Linked DNA regions of Oryzias latipes. The protein of the gene in region 3 binds, or shares a complex with, the protein of the main gene of each other region. Links are inferred from orthologs where the notes say so. Each region holds a gene or a part of one and is shown on either strand. Other genes may lie near its edges. The genes, in order: prpf4, lsm4 and prpf3.

The links.
Region 1: prpf3 (region 3) and prpf4 share a complex: the UniProt entries of both Homo sapiens proteins name them as parts of the precatalytic spliceosome. The link is inferred for Oryzias latipes from reciprocal best matches to the Homo sapiens genes PRPF3 and PRPF4.
Region 2: prpf3 (region 3) and lsm4 share a complex: the UniProt entries of both Homo sapiens proteins name them as parts of the precatalytic spliceosome. The link is inferred for Oryzias latipes from reciprocal best matches to the Homo sapiens genes PRPF3 and LSM4.

What each region holds. Positions count from the first base shown.
Region 1 is NC_019870.2:3,164-10,454, reverse strand, and holds the start of prpf4 (U4/U6 small nuclear ribonucleoprotein Prp4), read right to left. Parts: upstream 5,061-7,291; 5' UTR 4,968-5,060; intron 916-4,967; 5' UTR 895-915; coding exon 738-894; intron 1-737. UniProt on the Homo sapiens protein: Plays a role in pre-mRNA splicing as component of the U4/U6-U5 tri-snRNP complex that is involved in spliceosome assembly, and as component of the precatalytic spliceosome (spliceosome B complex).
Region 2 is NC_019862.2:13,831,496-13,838,786, forward strand, and holds lsm4 (U6 snRNA-associated Sm-like protein LSm4), read right to left. Parts: upstream 5,806-7,291; 5' UTR 5,686-5,805; coding exon 5,683-5,685; intron 5,257-5,682; coding exon 5,215-5,256; intron 4,975-5,214; coding exon 4,876-4,974; intron 3,184-4,875; coding exon 3,003-3,183; intron 2,815-3,002; coding exon 2,705-2,814; 3' UTR 2,088-2,704; downstream 1-2,087. UniProt on the Homo sapiens protein: Plays a role in pre-mRNA splicing as component of the U4/U6-U5 tri-snRNP complex that is involved in spliceosome assembly, and as component of the precatalytic spliceosome (spliceosome B complex).
Region 3 is NC_019874.2:18,951,970-18,959,001, reverse strand, and holds the end of prpf3 (U4/U6 small nuclear ribonucleoprotein Prp3), read right to left. Parts: intron 6,466-7,032; coding exon 6,382-6,465; intron 6,303-6,381; coding exon 6,067-6,302; intron 5,963-6,066; coding exon 5,844-5,962; intron 5,762-5,843; coding exon 5,574-5,761; intron 5,456-5,573; coding exon 5,289-5,455; intron 5,182-5,288; coding exon 5,099-5,181; intron 3,900-5,098; coding exon 3,756-3,899; intron 3,673-3,755; coding exon 3,573-3,672; intron 3,494-3,572; coding exon 3,380-3,493; intron 3,276-3,379; coding exon 3,157-3,275; intron 2,898-3,156; coding exon 2,820-2,897; intron 2,533-2,819; coding exon 2,480-2,532; intron 2,391-2,479; coding exon 2,241-2,390; 3' UTR 1,683-2,240; downstream 1-1,682. UniProt on the Homo sapiens protein: Plays a role in pre-mRNA splicing as component of the U4/U6-U5 tri-snRNP complex that is involved in spliceosome assembly, and as component of the precatalytic spliceosome (spliceosome B complex).

The DNA.
Region 1 (7,291 bases), on a different chromosome or scaffold from region 3:
GAGGGTGTGCAGCATAGGTTTCCCCCAGAAACCCTTGAAGTCTGAACACAGGACTAGCAGAAAAAGTAAATTATCAGCAAAGATGAATGTGTTTATTATAGTTTCAATCACGCACCATATGCAGAACTATTAAAAAAAAAAGGGCTGTAATCCGCTTATCGTCTCATCCCTACTTGACTTTGACTTAAATCGGTGCTATTTTTGTTTACATTTGCAGTAAAGTTGTCAATCTGCAGAGCTGTTAGCTGTCCAAGTTCCTGCAGTTAAGCTACGTTCACTCCGCCCTCGGAAACCTGAGTTCAAGCGCCCACTTCCAATGAAGAGTCTATGTGAACATGCATATGTGCGCACATGCGTGTTTAAAAGTCTTACGTTCACGCATCGCCACACAAGTTTCCATGACCATGTTCAGGCCAATAAAAATGACAGCCATTAACGGCGGGTTGAAAGTTACACCTTTTGTACTTTGACCAATCAGAGACTTGGATTTGGGAGTGATGTATGGATATCGTCCCTTTAATTCATGGAAGATGAATTCAAAATTGTTGATGAAGCAGAAATTATTAGTTGTGGTTTGTGTCCGGCTTTCGTCGGACAAAACGAAGAGCCGGTCTTTTGCGTCTGTGCCTGGGACGAAGCTGACAGGAACAACGACGGACCCTGAATCTGAAGGATCCCTGCGGCGTGGTCACCACAGAAACCAAAGTCACAGAGTGATGATTCAACAGTTGACCTGCCTGAGGAAATGTTGATGTTTCCAGCCTTAATCCCCGCCCTCACGGCATCACTTCCTGTAGCCTGCAGACTCAGACGTTCACGTTCCTTCTCCTCCAGGCTTCCGTAGAAAACACGGCTTTTCTTTGCAACCGGAACTGCATCTTCTTCGTCTGACATCTTCGTGCTGCTCTTCCTCAGCTGCAGAACAAAAGAGACGATGAAGAATGTAGACAAGCGTGAAAGACTTTGGACTAAATAGTATAAATTAACTTTTTGATGTTTCATTCAAATGTATCCACAAATTCAAACCTACAAAACAGAATTTATCAACATTTATTTGTTTTTGTCCTATTTTTAAATTGCAAAGGATTTGGTGTAAAACTGCTGTACAGTATTCATTATACAAGTACAGTGATCCCTCGCTATAACGCGGTTTACTTTTCACGGTTTCGCTACTTCACGGATTTGCATCGTGCATTGTGTTCTGCATTCTGATTGGCCAAAAAGTCACTCCGCTTCTTCTCTACCTGTGCATCAATAACGTTGCAGTTTAATATGTCCACATACCTACAACAGCTTGCCAAATTAACATTACGTCGTGCAAATTCTCTTGCAATTTCGAGTTTCTCTTAAACCCATCAGGATGCAGCGGCTCAGACTGAAGAGCAGTGAAATACACCTGAGTCACTATTTGTCCCACTGTACTTTGTATTTTTTTTCATAACCATTTTAAATTTTCTCCCGTTTAATCAAATTACTCGGGTCGCGGTGGGCGGGGCTAATCTCCGCGATTTGACGCCTTCTGTTCACATTGATGATTAAAATTTTATTTGACAGAACAGTATAGAAGTTATTTGTTGAAAAAAACGTTTCTAAAGTACCTTTATTTGTTAAACAAATGCTTGAGCCTGTAAAATGGTTTGTTCTTTCTTTTCAATGTATAATAGAGGATTTAATTGTATGATAATTGTAAAAAAAATAAAGGTTTCTACTTCACGGTTTTGCCTATCACGGGTTCTTTTTGGAACGTAACCCCCGCGAAAAACAAGGGTTTACTGTACTTCAGAGTAGGGCTGCACGATATGAGGAACACTCGCGATATGCGATATTGGTGATTAATATTGCGATAACGATATAATTTGCGGTATATAAACAAATAGCAAAACAACCAAAAAATAATTTCCATTTCACTACAACAGTTTAAAAATTATAATCCAAATGACCCTTGTTGACGTAGGAGGCAAACATCAAACATATAAGGGCTCATCTGATTGATCAACAACATAAACGGGTCCTTCCGATTGGTTAAATGCATAAAGGGATTCATTTCATGTGTTCAATATTTCAAGCTGCCATGAGTTTGTTTTTGTACATTTGAGGTAACCATTTATTGCGATTTTCGCCGTCTTTTGCGGTATGCATATTGCACAGCTTAATGTTGCGATAACGATAAATTTGCGGTATATTGTGCAGGCCTACTTCAGAGGATCCTTGACACGTTTTCTTCTGTTGTCCATAAGTTGAAATATCATAACAGACTGAGAACAAATATCAGCAAAAACACCCAATGGTTTAATTTCATTTCACTTAAATTTAAGTATAAGGTGGAGACATTAAATGCAGACATCAAATAGACAGTGGAATTCATTAGAAGCCTGCTCTGAATGGATTTGATGAATTTTGACCAAATTTAGTAGAATTTTTCCTTTTATATTTTAATATCAATTTTTCCATCTTAAGAATTGCATATAATAATTTGATGACACACGCCTTTCTTGACACACAAGGTCACTGTACATAGCAGTAAAAACAAGAATAAAAATACATTTAGAAAAATAGGATAAAAAAACAATGTGAGAAAGCTGGAGAAAAAAAGAGGACCGGAGAAAACGAGAGGAGGCGTCAACTTGGAGGAGCTCAGAGGTAAACAGGGGCCAGGTTATGGAGGGATTTGAAGGTGAGGAAGAGGAGGAGTCTGAATTGAATTGGACGCCAGTGCAATTGCTGGAGGAAGGGGGGGGGGGGGGGGTGATCAAAGGTTGGAGTTCTGGAGACAATATGGGCAGTGGAATTCTGGACCAGATGCAGTTTATTACGGATTTTGTTCAGGAGACCAAAAAGGAGCAACTCAAGTGTGAATCAAGACAGAAGTGGACAGTGAGAACAAGGCGGAGACGATGAATGTTCATAACAATTATTATTATAAAGCCATCCCCACAACACGATAACGGCCCGCAGCCATTGAGCCGCATCGCCTCCACCGCTCACATGTTTATATTTACTCTGGAGATGAGTTTGGAAATTGTGTCGTAAACCCGCAGGTCAGAAGAAAATGTAGCCGTCAACAGAGTAGAAGTGAACCCAATCTCTGCACCTGGGGGGTATTCCAGAAGTCATGTTTAAACTCCCCTGACTTTAACCCTGAACTCTGGCTGAAATCCACCTGAACTTGCTTACTCTGGGTATGTCGGTTCCAAAAGTCCGGATACGAGTTAGCGTAATTACGTTCCACTTGGTAACCCTGGGTAAATGCACGTGCACGGCATGTACATAAAGACATTCTCAATGGACCGCCGATTTCTGGAGTCACCATGGAAACGCGCACTAGTGGTGCTAAATAAACTCATCCGCCTCTTCCTCCCTCTCACTCATGGTGCAGAAAGAATTAAACATAACAGGACAAAATAACTAGACAAAACACAGTAAAACAGCTAAACTAAACACATTTGGTCAAAAACCCACACTTAAACCCAAATCCGTCCAGACAGGCAAAGGGAATGGTATCCCACAATTCCTTGCGGTGCAGATCTAACAGCAGCACCAAAGTTACACCTACTTCATTGAATCAATTTGAATGAAAGTAAAATAAATGTCTGATAACTACGTGTTATTTTTAAGCTGACTGAACTCCAAAAAAGATTCATCTTAACTTAAGCAAATAATTAAGTTAGATGAAAGTATAAAGTTTCTCTTTCCAACATCCATATGTGGTCTTATCATCCTCTCATGGTGGAAAAAGTATTATCTGAGCTTCTTCATCCACTAAATCATCTTCAAATGGACACGCCATGCTGCTTCACATCTCTGAAAAACAAACTAACCTTCAACTAAACCTGCTCCTGACCAGGTTATGTTCAGAGCATGAGTTGCTATGGCAACTTGACCTACCCTGAAACATACCTCCATTTCTGGAACAGAAAGCTGAGGTTATCCACTTCCTTAGCCTCAAACTTACCGTGGGAGCTAGCATAACCTGCTTTCTGGAATACCCCCCTGGTGGTTTCAAATCATCTGAAACGATGCCTTGAAAATGTACATAACGGGTCTGCTTTTCATAATTACCCGGGACAGGACCCTCCGACCCTCTCGATTGACGCCTGGCCTCCTTCTCTAAAAGACGATCACTGACTTGATCTGCACTGATTTTCACCCTTATGAGAATGTTATTTTCGATTTCTATCATTTTAATCAGGACAAAAAGGATTCATATTTTAATAAAAATATTAATTTTTTGCTAAATTCTATATTCAGCTAAGTCCCCAACAGCAAACCCGAAGTGATACTTAGAAATAAAATGTAAACATGACATAAATTCTTCACATCTGTTAGCATCAATAAGCTCTATCATATTCAGTTATTCTATTATTTTCTTCTCTAGGAATCCATCATTTTATGTTAACATGTGTACGTTTGACTCCCTTTGTTTGCATTTGTCTACGAAATGAATAAAGTTAATTAAAAACAAATAAAGTTAAATGAAAAACAAAAACACAATATTCCTTGTTAGCCGGCTGAACTTCTCTGTTTCTTTCAGATGCTCCTCCCCTATTTGGAGATTTTGGTACGGTCGCCTTTTTAAACGATGAAGCATTTTAGTCGACAGTAGTTTTAATCTTCTATCCTTGGTAATTTGATGTTTTATACCTGTCCTATCGTAAATGCCAGCCTATTCTTACGTCTTTTCTTTGTTTTGCGTTTCTTGAGGCAAACGGACATTCAGTCTGTACTAATGACGTCATCTACTAAACACTGAACATTTCTTCCCTCCATCACCCTTTTTGCAGGCGAAGCTGCACAACAGTTAGAACCTCCAACCAATTTCTGCAGTGGAACCGGTTCCGATCCACGCGGGGGAATCTGTGGCTGATTGAAAGCGCGTGCGGCGGAGGAATAAATTAGATGCTGTGAGCGCGTGCTAGTCCTTAACTGTTTTTGCTGCTACAGCTTCGTTACTTTTTTCGTAAACTCACCTTAATCCGACAAAGCTGCCTCCACGCGCTAAATGATCCGGATATATGTGCTGTAACCGCTTCCGGGTCAACCTACTACTTCCGGTTCACCGGAAAAACCTGGATACGCGCGTCTTGTGTCTCAACAACAGGTCGTGGAGCTCCGCGAGCGCGCGTTTTACCCACTCGTTCAAGGTAAGCTCACTGGTAAAAGCGCGTGACGAACCTAATTTGTTGCTAACCAGAAGTAAAACTGCAGATCACGTGGTGTTTGTTTATTTGCTGAATGGATGTCCAGAAAGGAGGTCAAACGTCCGGAGCTCATCTCCAGGTCTTGGGTTCCTTGCAGACGGAGCAGAGCTCGTGGCTTTCCTCCGAATCAGAGATTCTGTACAGCTGGCTGTCATGACAGAAACAGGTGGTTGTCAACCAAAACCTTACACAAACTGATCCGTGTGACCCAGAGCATCCTCATTCTTTTAAGACCCTTTGACTGAACTGGAACCAGTGGAGCATCAAACTAGAACCTTTCACGTTTCGTGGTTAGGTGTGTCAGATAATCAGCAAAGTACGTCCACTTTGCTCCCTAGGGGGCGCTGTTTTGGCTGCTGGATTCAGACCTGAGGTTCAGTGGAGAAATGGTATGGTTCTTATTGCTGGGTGTAGTCACAGGGCGTCTTCAATTCCAGAATAGCCCAAACCCACAGAACCAGAGATGAGCTTAAGTTCTAGTGTCCCATAATTTATGTAAAAGAAACAGAGCTTGTTCTTTAAAATGATATTTTGGAGTAGCTTGTGACTTTGAGGTCAAACACTGTAGACTTCTGACCCCCTCTTTGTGGGAGTCTGAAGATCTGATCCAACCAGAGGTTCCTGAGTAAACCCCCACAGAGACCAGGGGGGTATTCCAGAAGTCATGTTTAAACTCCCCTGACTTTAACCCTGAACTCTGGCTGAAATCCACCTGAACTTGCTTACTCTGGGTATGTCGGTTCCAACAGACCGGATATGAGTTAGCATAATTACGCTCCACTTGGTAACCCTGGGTTAATGCACGTGCACAGCAGGTACATAAAAACATTCTCAATGGATCGCCGATTTCTGGAGTCACCATGGAAACGTGTGGAGAAAAAAAGAGAGAGAGCTGTACTTCAGTAAGACGGATTCGGACATTTAAATGACGGCGTATGAAGATTATACGTCCATCAATAAAGTAACACGGCTGCATCATCAGCAAAAGAGAGTTTCTGCTTGGAGAAAAGAACAGACAAAGTAAACGCACGAGTTTCTGATCTTATTTCTATTTTCCTTGTGACGCATATATATACAGGGCTCCAGACTAACTTTTTTCACTGGGAGCACTGTGGCCCCCAACTGAAAATTTTAGGGGCACAACCAGAAAATTTAGGGGCGCATACCGTAAATCAACATTCTAACCCAATCTACTAATTTCCACTGTATTACTAATAAATACTTTAATAATAGATGCAGAAATTACAATGTGCTGTTTCAAATTCAGTGTCACATTTTATTCTGCACTTTTGAAGATGCAACAAGAAGGTAAACTGACAGCACCATCACTGTCATGACAGTACAAATAAGTAAAGAAAACGGAGGGAAATTTATCTTTGTGACACCAAATAGGTGCAGCCAAGATGCACAATAAGCATGTTTGAGATCACCCAGGTGGACTCAACGCTGCGCAGATCACCTGGTGTGTGACATATATTTTTGTTTTTGCTCCAACATCAACTGTCAATCAAAACAAAAATATCACGAGAAAGGGGCGGGAGCAAGGCCCCAACCTGAGCGAACGCAGCTGGAAATTTAGTACTGCACTGACTGAAAGCTGCCCAGATGACTACAAAATAATGCATTATGGGACATGTGTCCTGATGGTTTTTGTAGTGGAGTGATTAATTAAAATAATTTAAAATACCAATTCATTAAAAAAAGGCTACATACATCACAAAATATTAAAATAATCATAAAATATATAATAACACAGATCATACTAAGGGGGAGAAGAATATTAAAACTAAATTGAATGTTAAGGACAACTCCAATTTCCTGTTCTCCTTCAGTCTTGCTGCAGATTCGCCTTCATCTCACAGCCCCCCCCGCCTGGTCTCCCCAACGATCCAGGCGATGTTCATCTCAAACACGTCTATCGTTGCATTTTCCCCACGTATTTTCAGTGTGTCTAAAACTAATGTTGTTTTTGCTCGAGCGTGTTTAAAGTTCAAGCCCCGTTAGCTGTCACGCATGTAGGTGTGGGACATTTATTCTCCTCAGCTGACCCGACTCCCGCGGGAGCGGTGAGCTGCCTTGACAGCCGTGCATAA
Region 2 (7,291 bases), on a different chromosome or scaffold from region 3:
GCATCACCGGCCAAGAGTCGGCTTCATCCTCATACCTCGCTAGAGAAGAGACAGAAAGTGTGCGGATGGGGGAGCATCAGCGATCACCGTGGCAACACAAGCAGAGTGACGCAGGTAGGAGCAGCAGAAAGGAAGATAGGTGCCGATTGGCTACCAGCAGCAGTAGCCTGTTCACATAGAGTGGGCGGTAAAGAGAAGGAAAACTCGGCACTGAGATTATCCACAACACTGCAGCGCATAAAGACTCACAGTCAGATTGCATAGTTAATTAGAAGATGCCTGCAAACATGATATACACCCTATAACATGCTTTTTGAAGCAATTTAGTTGAAAATACATGTCCCTATTTGATAACTTGAATTTGAATGTATGTCTTGTGGGAGATAATTATTGAGCACATTTATTGAACATTTGATTTTAATTTATACATTTTATTTAGTTGGTCAACCTAGTTTCCATTGATTTTTTTAAAAGATGCTTTTGCTTTAAGAATTCACTGTCAAATTTGAGGCTTTTAAGTCCTAACTCCCTTTCAATGACTAAAGAGGTACACGTGAGGATCTTTGGTACCTGTTTACTTCTATTATGTGTACTAAATTACATAGAAAAAAGATCAAATGCACTAAATTGCAGCTGCAGTTTAAATAGAGCTGTTGGATTTTTCTTATAGTTGGGTGCAATCACCATTAAATCCCCATTTTCAGCTGTCACATATCAAAATGTCTGCCATGCAAAATCTTTATTAAAGCATTTTATTTAATGGACAATGAAAATGAAAAAGAAGAAAAAACACTCAACTGTGCACCAGCTAATGCTGCCCTCTAGTGGCCACAGCTTAAAGCTGTCGTGTCTCAACTCCAACCTCCATCTAACCCTTGTGCCATCCTAGGCACGTTAACATTGGGAGGGGGTCATCTAGACCCCACAAGACAGCGCGCTAAATCTTTTTTTTTCAATGATTTGTGATCTTCACTAGTGTCCATGGATTACATTAAATCCTCTTCACCTTTATCCACTTTATCCGCTCCAACTTCAGCCTCCTTTTATCAATATTATCAGTCCTTCCTCTCAATGTGTCCAAACCGTCTCAATCTATTTCCCTTCTTATCTCCAGAACATGAGCTGTTCCTCTGATGAATTCATTCCTGATCCTCGTCACTCCTAAGGAAAACCTCAACATCTCTAGCTCTGCCTCCTGTCTCTCTCTCAGAGACACCATCTCTACACCACCACCAACTGCTCTCACCTGCTGTCTTGACTGACATTTTTTTCCCCACACTTCACACCTGGGACTTTCCTCTTTTTGTTCCAACCTGCTTGGACACACGTCTTCATCTCTCCCACTATCTTGAAAAATGTTGTTCTGAACCTTTCACTAAGAATTTAAAGTCCACCACCTTCTCCGCCTGTGCCTGGTAACCTTAATATTCTACTTCGTTTCTTCTCATTTACACAGATGGTCTGTCTTGTGGTGGTTGACCTTCATTCTTCTTCTCTCCAGAGTAAACCTCCACCTCTTTAGATATTTCTCCACCTTAAAATTGCACCATTTTAAGTTTTACAGATTTTAATTATAGTACTTTTTCTGCATGATCATGCATAATTTCAAAGCCCAATTTTTCGCAAGGAAAACTAAATGTCAGAATTTCTTAAATTAGCTTGCAAGTAATAGGGAAGACTAAAATAAATCTCAGCCATTTATTTGAATCATAAATCTATCAGTTATTAAATTTATGTAACAAAATGTGTGTATCATATTTAACTTGTGGTCTTAACTCTCCAAAATGAAAATGTTCTTGATTGTAAAAAAATAAAAAAGCTTTAAATCTTTATCTTAAAAATCAAGCAAAACAGCAGCTAATTCCAAATATTTTCTTTTCATGAGCCTGAACTTGTGTTGATGCTTTAAATAGGATACAGGACATGCTAAACAGGAACAGAGGTCTTTACACTCTGCAATCAAATAGTAATTTTACTATAACAATTTCAGTGCTTCATTTCTTCAAACTGATCTTTAAACAAAAAGTTTCAGGTGTAACAAACTTTTGGGGCAGTTCCCTAAAAATGAAGACTATTTTATACATACATGGTCTTTAACAAAAACTGCTTTATTGTTTCTCATGTCATTACAATAATATTCATCACTATAAAAATAAAGAGTTTTTCAAACAAAAATTCTTATGGTCAAATCGTGTCACTTATCTGTGACTGGATGTCAGCTGACTATCAGCTTAGATTGGCTAATGAGGAGTGAAAGACAGAAACAAACCCACACCAACCATGTCACTCAACAACTAGAATAGAAATGAAGAGAATTCTGGGGCTGGAATATTGTCTATCATGAAATCTACCCCTAAAGAAAAAGACATCCAAATATAAACAATTTGACACTTCCAATTGTACCAACAGATTACTTTTGTGACTAAAAAGGGGTTTTCATGACAAAATATTCTTCTTGAAAGAAAAGAAAAAAAGAAAAAGTATCAGCTCTTGGGTTTTACACAAACATGGTTATTCTTAAAAACCTAAAAAGAAAACTCAGTGCAAAACCACTGCCTCTTTTGAACATCTCAGTGACCTTTTGCAGCGATTGGTTCTCTTACATATCACATATCAGCAAAAAAAGGAGCTGAGAGTTAAATTATCCACAAGTACTGAAACAAAAATAACAGTTAATGTGATGTGAAAGATCCATGACATCACATCAGTGCTGGTTCTTCATTCCCTGCTGTTTGCTTGGTTTTTTATCCGGCTGCTGTGGCTGCTGGCCTCGACCAGGACCTGACATCCCTCTGCCGCGGCTGCCAAACACACCTACATACAGACACAAAAAATGTCAAATTCAGCAAGTTAGAATAATAAATTCCTAAACAAATAAAGATGATGTTTCACCAGATGTGTTTAAAAGCTTTAACAGAGGGATTTTTTACTTATTTTAAGCTGATCTAAGTCTCATTAAGGCAAATCATGACAGAACAAATGCAGAAGTTGCTTCCTCTCACCTCGGCCGGCTCCGCCTCTTCCTTTACCCTGCTGCTTATTCTGCTGGGCACCTCCACGTCCACGACCCTTAGAAACCACCTCATCCTTCACCATGTCAATAATCTCATCTGGAATTCGCAGATACTTGATGGTACTTCCCCTGATGTAGCACTCTGGCATCCTCCAAAACTTATCACCATCCTGTGGGAAAAAGACCAAACGATGAGTGTAACCAGTATACTTCAAAGGGTCTATGCTAAATCCCTTTTTTGAACTTCCCGGTGTATTATAAAGAAACCTCAAACCAGTATTGACCCATTCACGCATTTCTGAGAATTCCTCTAAAAACCTGTGCTCCAGGAACCAGCCACACCTAACCCACAAAAACAAGCGGGTTCTCACGAGCTGATGTAGATAAGTGAGAACAGCCCCTTCCAGGAAGAGTCTGCGCTGCCAGCCCCGCCCCCAGGCTAAAACACACACTCCATGAAGCTAGTGGTGTTTGGCAAAACTCTCTTTACATGCTCAATATGCACATTCATCTTTACGAAAGTTTGAATGTTGTTTGTTTCGTGGGCGAGACACAGACATGTTGTTGATGCTGGCTATAGGTTGACATCATGGAAGTGCCGGTGCCTCAGATCCAGTCGTCTTGCTTCCAGGTTGGAAAATAACTCAGGAAAATAACTAATATTCATTCATCATTTTTTAATTCATCTTCTAAACCCGCTTTGTCCCTTTTGGGGTCACTGGGCTGCCGGGGCCTATCCCAGCTACTCATGGGTGAAGGCAGGGGGCTTCCTGGACAGGACACCAGTCTGTCACAGGTCCACAAATCACTCACCCATGCACACTTGCATTCACACTTATGGACAATTTAAGGTAACCAATTAACCTACGAAGGTGGGAGTCCCCGGAGAAAACCCACGTATGCACGGGGAGAACATGCAAACTCCACACAGACAGGTTCTTTTTCAGGTCCCCCAGCCAAGTCTTGGACCTGGCTGGGCTTGCAGTTGGCTGGGGGACCAACAGCAACCAAGTCCCCAAAACTTGGCTGGGGGATCTTGCGCTAACCACTGCGCCACGTAACTAATATTTAATTTAAAAAATCTTTCTTTTGTGGGCCAAAGGTAATATATATATGGATATTCTTTACCATGAATGGTTTAGGAATAGCATGGTACAGGGCCTTTAACAATAATCAGTCCTTTTTCTTCTAACAAAAAAAATTAGCGTTGAGGTTTTTGTTCCAACATGTATCAAAGGATGTTTTACTAAAACCATTGCTTCATTATACATTAGTCTTTATATTTTAAAGGCTCACTTCAATTATCTTTTGATCTATTCCCAGTATTTTGATTTTGTTTTTTTTCATTATGCAGCTTTAAGCCAAAATGAAAAACTTGTCTTGTTTTCTAGGACAGTTTCTGCAGAGTGACAGAAGTTCATTAGAAATATACCTAAAAAAGCCTGCCGCATTTTCCAAGGTCCCTTTGTTTCCACTCTCCTGCTAGCTTACACACCCTCATACCCCCAATCTAACACCAAGTGCAAGAAAATTGGTGGGGAATGTTGAAGCTATACAGACGTACAGTTTAAAGCCAGATGCCAGCTCAGACGAGGAAAACCAAGACGTAAATGGATCTAATTGCCTACAAACTTTCTTTATATATGTCCGTCATTATGAGAAAAATGCCACAAAACATGTTAAAAACCAAACCAAACAAATACACTATTTTAATTGGGGTGGGTCTTTAAACGGCTAAGGTAGTCAGAATGAAAACTGAAGGAAACAGGTAAGCGACTGTTAAATTTAAGCTAATTTTTTTTATTTAAGGTGTGCAGTTTATGGATCGTTCTCCACTGAGAACATGAGAGCAAATCTGTTACCCTGGATGTGCAGATGACTTCTCTCAAGTTGATGTTCATCCAGTTGTCACAGCTAACCAGATGACCGTTGTAGGTTTCTCCATTCTTCAGTTCAACCAGCTGAAAAAAATCAAAGTTCATTGAAAAAAAGGTCAGCTGGTGATTATGGTTTTCTAAAAGGTTCTTTCTTTATTCAAAAAGAAATGCACAAAAATTATTGTTTAAAGAAAAACATGCAAACAATCTCAATAACAAAACAAAAAACCTGATCTTAAAACCACAAGTAACTGAATAAAATGGTTTAACCAGTAATCACCAGATAAGGAATAGAAGGAGGAAAGAAAAGCAATTATTTCTTACCATAGGATGGTTCTGGGCCGTCTTCAAAAGGGACAAGGGAAGCTGCGAAATAGTAGAAATGGGTCCGATTTATGATCTCTATGATATATTAAAATAATGCATTCTAAAAGGAATATTGATTCAGAAATGAAGAACACGTCTGAATGTATTTCTGTGTCGGCGGAGAAACTTAAGCTCTGTTCCGAACTATAATGATTCGTTTGTGTTTAGTTTAGTACTAAACGTGTATCTGAAATGGTGACCCCCCCCCCTTATATATTTATATAGAAAATAATTTTAAAAAGAACCACTTGTATAGTCAGCGTTCCACAAGCAGAAAACAATTTAGCATTGGTTGCTAGCGTAGCTTAGCCTTGATTTGCGATGTTTAAACCAGTTACATGGGATTTTTGAAGCCAAAGAACAGGTCAGTATTTTTATATAGTGTGTGATTTTTACAAAATAGTCCATTTGTAAGTAATAACTTACCATTCTGGTAGGTTATGTTTGTGCTGCCTTAGATTAGCAACACGATTTTTACTCGCAGACTCTTCTTCGTTTTCTACGTACTCGGTGCCACGTCTTATTAAAACATGACTGCCCCCTAGCGCAAAACATGCGCAAACACAGGAGCATTTTCTTTTGTTCTTTTACTGTGACGAAATTCAAAAATAAATACAGAGGACCAAGTGTAACATCTATCTATCAAACACAGGAGCATTTTCTTTTGTTCTTTTACTGTGACGAAATTCAAAAATAAATACAGAGGACCAAGTGTAACATCTATCTATCTATCTATCTATCTATCTATCTATCTATCTATCTATCTATCTATCTATCTATCTATCTATCTATCTATCTATCTATCTATCTATCTATCTATCTATCTATCTATCTATCTATCTATCTATCTATCTATCTATCTATCTATCTATCTATCTATCTATCTATCTATCTATCTATCTATCTATCTATCTATCTATCTATCTATCTATCTATCTATCTATCTATCTATCTATCCATCCATCTATCTATCCATCCATCCATCCATCCATCCATCCATCCATCCATCCATCCATCCATCCATCCATCCATCCATCCATCTATCTATCTATCTATCTATCTATCTATCTATCTATCTATCTATCTATCTATCTATCTATCTATCTATCTATCTATCTATCTATCTATCTATCTATCTATCTATCTATCTATCTATCTATCTATCTATCTATCTATCTATCTATCTATACACAAACATTTCCTTCAAAGCATAAAACCGCTTAATAATATCTTATAGCAAAATCCTGTGTCTCAAATTTCAGATTGTACCATTGCTGATTAGTTCGCATTAGGTATGAGTGTCTAGACTAAACATAATACAGTAATTTTTTCTTCATTTTCAGTGAAATGCATTTTTATTCCTTAAATTAGTACAGAATAAAATTAAAAAAAATAATGATGATAAAATGAGGATAATAGAGAAGAAAGAGAAGAATAATATTGAATAGATCACTGCCACAACTCCTTGTATTATAAAAAAGGAAAAGCTGGAATTTTGTTGCGTGTACATGTGACACAGTGACAATAAAATAAGTCTATTCTATTCTATTCTGTTCTATTCTATTTTATGATTAAGGTCTGTCTGGTTTTGGTAAAGTCTAAATAAATGTGACAGTGGTTTAAAAAATAATAATTTTTTTCATTACCAAATGGATTCATGTAATTGAATTACGTGAATCCTTATATAATTTGACCAACACGTTCATATTTTTGCTGGTGCAATTTTTGCAACAACTAATTTATAGCTTGGTACTTAATTAAAGTCTTATTTTATGATAAAACACAGGCAAGACAATTGGTTGTATTAAAATAGGATATTTGTGTAGTTTTTATTTATTTATTTTTTCTTTTTGTTTTTTCCCTAAGTTGACATTTCTCAGCCACCGTAGCCGTCATTCCGTTGATGGCGTCATTACGTTGGGTTTGACGCAGCGTGCAGGATGAGAGAGAACGGCAGGTTTCTTTTGATTGTGGGAGAAGGAGTCGTCAGCTGTGAGGGTCTCCGGCTGTTTAAGAGGATCTGTTTCGGCGTACA
Region 3 (7,032 bases):
CTCGTTTTAATTTATATTTCCGGGGCTTTCTCGATTGGGATCTCTCCCTCTGGGTCAGCTGCTGTTCTTTAATCACATAAAGATAAATAAAAATAACTTTAAAGTCCCACTTTAAAGTCAAATTGTCTTTTGATCCATTTTAAAAAGTGTTCCCAGTGTTCTTTTAATTATGATTATTCCGTTTTTTGGCCCATCCAAAAAAACCTGTAGTTTTTTAGAACATAGTTTCTGCAGAGCAGCAGTATGTCATTAGAAATTTGTCTCGGACTTTCCCATGATTTCATTGTTTACACTAACTCCAGCTAGCTTACAACCCTCGCCTAACAGCAGTGCAACAAAAATACTACATCTAGCCGTACATTTGTGAGCCTCGTGCTAGCTCAGATGAGGAAAAGGAAGATGTACATGGATCCATTTGTTTACGAGTTGATGCACTAGAATGGAGCAGAGCAGGGAGCTTCTGGTCTGCCAATTGTAGCACCTGTCACATTACAAGCTTTTTCAGATGGCACTTTTTTCGTCTACTTCTGATTCACAAATGTAAATATATATCCATCAGACTATTTTCATTGGAGTGGGTCTTTATTCACTTTACAAGTACTTTTGATTCATTATTTGGCAGTAGCGTTTTATCATCATGTATCAAGAAGACAAGACAGTGTGAACAGAAATGTAAATTCTTTGATTCTGATACAGAAAATATACTAAACAAATATTAAAATACATGACAGCGGCCTATTTTGCATAAACTACCATCGAAGAAATAATTCCCATTTTGCATAAAAATGTAAAAGTTTAATCTGTGCTAAACAGAAATGGGCACTGTCACTCAGTCACTGATGGACGAAAAACGTACTTGAAAATCCTGAGTTCAAGTCATTTAACTAAAACCTAGTCTTATTTTTTATTTTATTTTGATTATGTATTTTCGACGTAGGTATTACGATGGAGCCATTATCCAATACGGGCTTCACATAATGGAAGGCCTAACTGTAAACACTGTTAACGACGAATCGCTAGCTTAGCTAATATTAGCGGCTAATTTGCAAAGACAACGACGCCAACACTTCGGCTCAATACAATTGCGAAACTCAATTTTTATTCTACACAACCCCCGTTTTGGGGTTCTGCACATAAAGCATAACCGAACCACAGCAGGGTTTTGCAAAATTCTTTCCTAAATGCATTTGACTCAGCTTAAATATGCTGGCTACAGGCTAGCAGTTAGCTTCAGCGAGAAACTACTCACATTTCTTTAGCCACTTCATCCAATAGCGAACAATAAGGCTGTAATGTTTCTTGTTTTCAATGCACCAGCTTGAGAGTCCTTGTATCGACTCCATGGTGTTAGACACTGCCTGAAACCGGCGGTCCAACGACGCTTCCAATGCAGCGGTGGAGCTGCGAGCTCCCTGGCCGCTCGCAGCCTCGGAACCGGCCGCCATATTTCAAGCTCTATCAACTAATGATAGGGACGAGGGCGAAGGCGTGATGGAAGACAAGGCAACGCAGGGGAGACCACGCCCCCCGCGAGTCATTACATATGTATTAACTTCATGCCATAAAAATACCAACCTACACACCAATATTTTAACTCGGTATTTTTTTTTTTTATTTGGGCTAAAAACTTATGAAATGACCCAGGCAATTGAAGCGGTTAGCAAACAAAATCAAAGATGAAGTCTTTTTTTCACATTTTTTAATTAAGGCAGTTTTAAATGTTACAAGGAAACATGGCTAACCTCTGTGGATAGGGGGTCAACACACTGATGGGTCAAAAAATAAATGATGCGGTAACTGTGTGAAAGGTGTCTAAAAGCAAGGTTTCAAAAAATAAACTTCAAAAAGTAAAAGGTCAACTTAGTGATAGTGTGTTGTCATTAGGACATTCTTCCTAATCAACAAAGACAATATGATTTAAGTTGAGGATTTTATAGCAGAAAATGAGCCGAAACAGACTGATTTAGGTCGGAATCAGTCGGTCTAAACAGGACAGACTTGCATCCAATGAAATCAACTAAATGCAAAACTACATATACTGCCTTGTATACACAGGAGCTCACTTTTTCTTAGAAAAACAGGTTTAATGTGCCCCGTATTTTCTGTTGAAGTCTCTTTATTGAGTCTTTGTTCCTTCCTCCTCAGCAGCCAATAGATAATTCTGGCTATTGTGAGGCAGCAGGTCTGCAGGTTTGACTGTAGCAGTCCTTATTTGAAACAGATCTCTCCCCTCGAAGGTTTCAATCATCGGTGCCGTCCAACACACTATGGCTGAGGGCAAGGTCCCAGTAATGTTCTGTTCCGTGCTTCTTGAAGTGTTCTCGGGCCATGCTCTCTGTGGGACACTGCTTGAACTTGATCTCTCCATAACTTCGATCTTTACCTGTTCCCTAAGGAAGCAGAAGGAACCATTAGACTTGGATGGACTAAAGAAGTTCTAAATGTGCAATGGAAACAGAATAAATGCATGTTCACTCACCTCCCAAATCAACCAACACTTGTTGTTTCTCTTTGTGTCATCAACATCTGGATCTAAGATTTGAAAAATGTGAGCATATTTTATTTGAAGCAAACACTGAGCCAACAATAGTACGGTATGTAGAAATAGCTTGTGTCCTGATAATTGACATAAACCACTTTTGAACCGTTATCAGTGGTTGGTGAAAACTAAAAGCTACAAAAGATAATTACCCATAGCTGTATAAATAAACTGCAAATCTCAGACACATAATTTCTTAAACTTGCGATTATTATTTTTTATAATTTGCAATCAATTAAGACGTTTTTCCATAGCAGCAATACAAAAGCAGTAATCTTACCATCTCTTTTGCTACTGTGTTCTTCCCACTTGATTCTATGCAGCATCAACTTCCTGAATTTTTTCTGGGATTTAGGGCCTTCAAGGGAAAGAGACAATTGATTCTTTATTACATTTCATATATGAATTTGCTGGCATTTTCTCTTCCCAGTTCAGATCAAGTGAGGTTCAATTGAAAAAAAAAATCAGTATTTTCTCTCTATAATGAAATCTTCTAAACAGTAAATGAAAGGCTATATAAACAGTAATAATTGAAACATGTCAATAAATGTGTTATTAAGTTTCAGCAGATCAATATAAAAGGACATCAATATAATTTAAACAGATTTCTTCCTTACCTCCCTCTACAACAACAAGATTAACATCTCTGTGCAGAACTACTGTTCCAGTCAGGTACAGCTGGTTTGCATTGGCCTCCACCTTAAACTTCTTTGCAGGATTTGTCAGGTTACGGATTCTGTAAGATACAACATTTATATTGGTTTTCAAGGTGTAAAAAGAGCTTTGAAAACAGATATTTAAAAATATATATATTTGCTGTTCCCGTCCTCAAATGCATACCTGTACACTGAAATGTGAACTCCGTTAGTGAGGTCTTCTTTCAACTTCTTGACCTTCTTCTCTTTTCTTTGCTCTGTTGAAAGCTTTCGAGCTGCATTGGCTTCCTCATGAGCTCTGAAAAAGTGTCGCTGTTAGAAAAACACTTAAGAAAAATGTGAGTCTCTGTGGATTCTCACGGTAACAAAACACCTACTTTTGTCTTTTTGCCATCTGTGCTCTCACATGGGCCTCTACTTTAGTGGGGTCCTGGACCGCCTCCGTCCCCAAGACTCTCATCAAGTTGGAGATACGAACTTAAAAGTACAAAAAAAATCATCATGTACCATTACTTGACCTGATTACAGGCATAGAACAATGTTCACTTGTGTGCAAGTACCTTTAGGTTCCGGTGGTGGCATCAATCCAAGACGGACCTTTTCCTGCAATTCTTTTTGTGCCTCCCTCCGCGTTTGTCTCCTTAGTTTCTTCTGTTCTTTCTTTGTCAAATACACACCCAGGGTTACTGGTTTATCAGTGTCCACTGGGAAAAGAAGAACAGTTGTAAAGAATATAACTAATATTAATGGAATGAATGTAATCAGAGCTTTTTCTGTCAAACATGTCAAATAAAACATTTTATTCTAGAACCTTGAAAGAAGCTAGAAGCATTAAAAAAATTACACAGAAAAACAAATGTGTGTACTTTTAACTTAGAGATGGCAAATTTTTTGCTCTGCATTTACTATAATAAATAAATGTTTGTTTCCTCAGGAACATTCCTTGATACAAAGTTTGCCATTTCAAGACAAAAAAAAAGTTCCTCCACACAATAATAAAAAAAATTCATTAAAGACACTGAGGCAGAAAAATGGTAATTGGAATGGTTCTTCAAAACAGTCTGAGACTTTAAAGTTTACAGATAAAGAGAAAAAATACTTAGACAAAAATCCCTTACAAATGTCTTTAGAGACCAGTTTTGACCACAGGAAGAGTTTAGATATTGTACAGTCAAAACTGGGATTAAGTCTGGCAAGGGGTGCCTAACAGGATGTTAGCTGAGGACATGTTACAGTGGATTTCATCAGATATAGCTACAATTTTCTAATTTAGTGGTTAACAAATCACTTTTCAAAAGTTTATTGGACTAGGATACTTACTTTACGGTAAAGCTTTCTGTCTGGCTTTGTCAGAGTTCCCTCATTACTACAATTAAAAAGCTTTATAGTGCAGGACAATCTATTGCCCTGGACTTTAAAGGCAAACAGCAAATATGACATCACCTATTTCACGAAGTGAAAATCTAAATTTATGACGACTTTTTATGAATCCACTGAGAATGAAAACATTGATTGTTTATTTATAAAAAAATGCATCTAAACACTTTTTTCGCAAAATTGTTCGAACGCAATGCATTATGGTCTATATTCGCCAATCTAGTGAGCATCAATGCACACTGTTTTTTTGCAGAGACGTCTGGAAAAAAATTTAGGGCACTCGATTCTGAAATAGTAGATTCTGAAAGCACTGCAAAATGGCGAACGAACTATAAATACAACTATGCACTGAATAGTGAAGGAATTCATAAATTGCCTGTTTTTTCCTGAAAAACACACATAAAATCTTATGGATATAAGACGTATCCTCGAAACATCCATGACAAATAGCTGTTAACAGTCTATTATCAACATCACAGGGCAGAAACTGTAATTTCTCAACACATTCTTTTCCACCTAAACTTACCAGGAGGTCTCATTTGTGTAGGGTGTTCTACCAGGTTTGTTACTCCAAAAAATTCCACGTTATCAAACCTCGTTTCCGGTTTGCTAAATAGGAAAAAATAATAAAGTTAACCAAACTAAAAGAAATGCACAGATAAGGTTAACATATTGGTTTAAAAACTGCAAAAACATTTTAAAGTTTTTTTTCTTACAAAACTATGTTGGAGGGCAAGATGAAGGAGTCCCACCACTCAATACTGGGTACTTCCCCATCTCCAATCTCCTTTCTAGGCGCAATCAATGCCAGTTTGGTGGAAGCCTGAATTCCTGTCTTTTTAGCAGCCTGGGAAATCTCATTCTGAAGCCGTTCCAACTGGGCCTAATGGGCAAAGACATTTATGCAAAAGGCATCAAACAAGGTGTTTTTGAATTGCCAAATTGTATTTCTGAATAATTAACAAAGGTCTTGAGATGATAATGTCAAGCTTTTCACCAACCTTGGTTCGAACTCTCTGGGCAATCTTCTCAAACCGTCCGGGCTCATGAAATTTGAAGCCTCTGCGGAGGCGCTGGGCAGGCGTAATGAGCACACGGTTGTCAAAGTATGATGTTGACTCCAAATCATCACTAGGTTTCTCCTTCAGTTGCTGACGGAACTGTTCCCTCTTTACCGCCCGTATGTTAGCTGCAAAAAAAGGAATAGTGGTCCATGAAGTCAAAGCGCAGTAATGATGAGACACATTTACACACCGATCCAGAAGACCTACCTTTGAGTGTGGGCATGCGGTGCGTAAGTTCAACCTCTTTGCCAGTGGCATCAACAGTTCTTCCCTTCTCATCAAGAATGAGGGGTGTTGGCTTGTTCACTTCCTTAATCTCCACTTTACTTCAGTTTCACAAACAGATACAAATGATTATTTGTATCCAGAAAGCAAATACACAATCTATTGTTTTTCCCCCCAATAAATTAGATATCTTCAAGTTACTCACGGTGGAGCAATTCCCATGGCATGTAGATTAGCAAGTGCTACCAGGTTGTGAGGTCCGGTGTTTCCCAAGGCTCCCAGGATACCAGGCTTCACAGATAACTGGGACTGAATGCGGGCCTGCAACTCTGCTGCCTTGCGGGCTTTTTCAATAGCATCATTCATAAAGCTGGCAGCCTGCGAGGGGGCAACAGATGAGGCACCAGCGGCGCCCAGAAGCCGTGAGCCATCCAACTGTGACTTTAAGGTTAAAAAGAAAACTGAGTTAGAGACAAAAAACTGTTGTTGATTTTTGTTCATGATTGTGCATAACAATTACTGCAGCAGAAGGGACCGAAGAAAAGCTCAGTTGTTTCTTCCTTTCTTCTATTTGTTTTGTGGCAGCCTCCATCATCTGCTTGATCTGAAAGAAAGTATCATGGTTTTAAAATAAATATTTATCTCTAAAAATTCATACTTCATAAATAAAATCAATAAGTAACAAACACATTTGCAATACTGTTAATCCCAAACCATGCAAGATGGAAAAAATACAACAATTAATGTGTAAAAGGTACTCCAAAGTTCCAATATCAACACAAAGACTAAATATATGTTCCCTTCTAATCTATATGAAAACCAGAAAGCGATACATTTAAATACTGCTCATTAGGTGTACATATTTACTTTGAAAATTATTGTTTTTTGTTCATCCTTTTTAAACGTTTTGGGGATTTTCTTTGAGGAGTACATCAAGGAAAACTGACACAGTTTAAACAACAAAGAATTGATTTTTTACAATACATTTACTGGAGCTGCTCATAGTTTAGTTGAGAAGATAAATAGGAACATTAAAGTAATGATAACACAGAGGCCCAGGCAAAATGACAGTACTCCAAACAAGCTATATTCTTGCTTATTTTAACATTTTTAGTCACATAAACATTTCATCTTCCTCCTTTTTTACCACATACCTGAGAGAAATACTGAA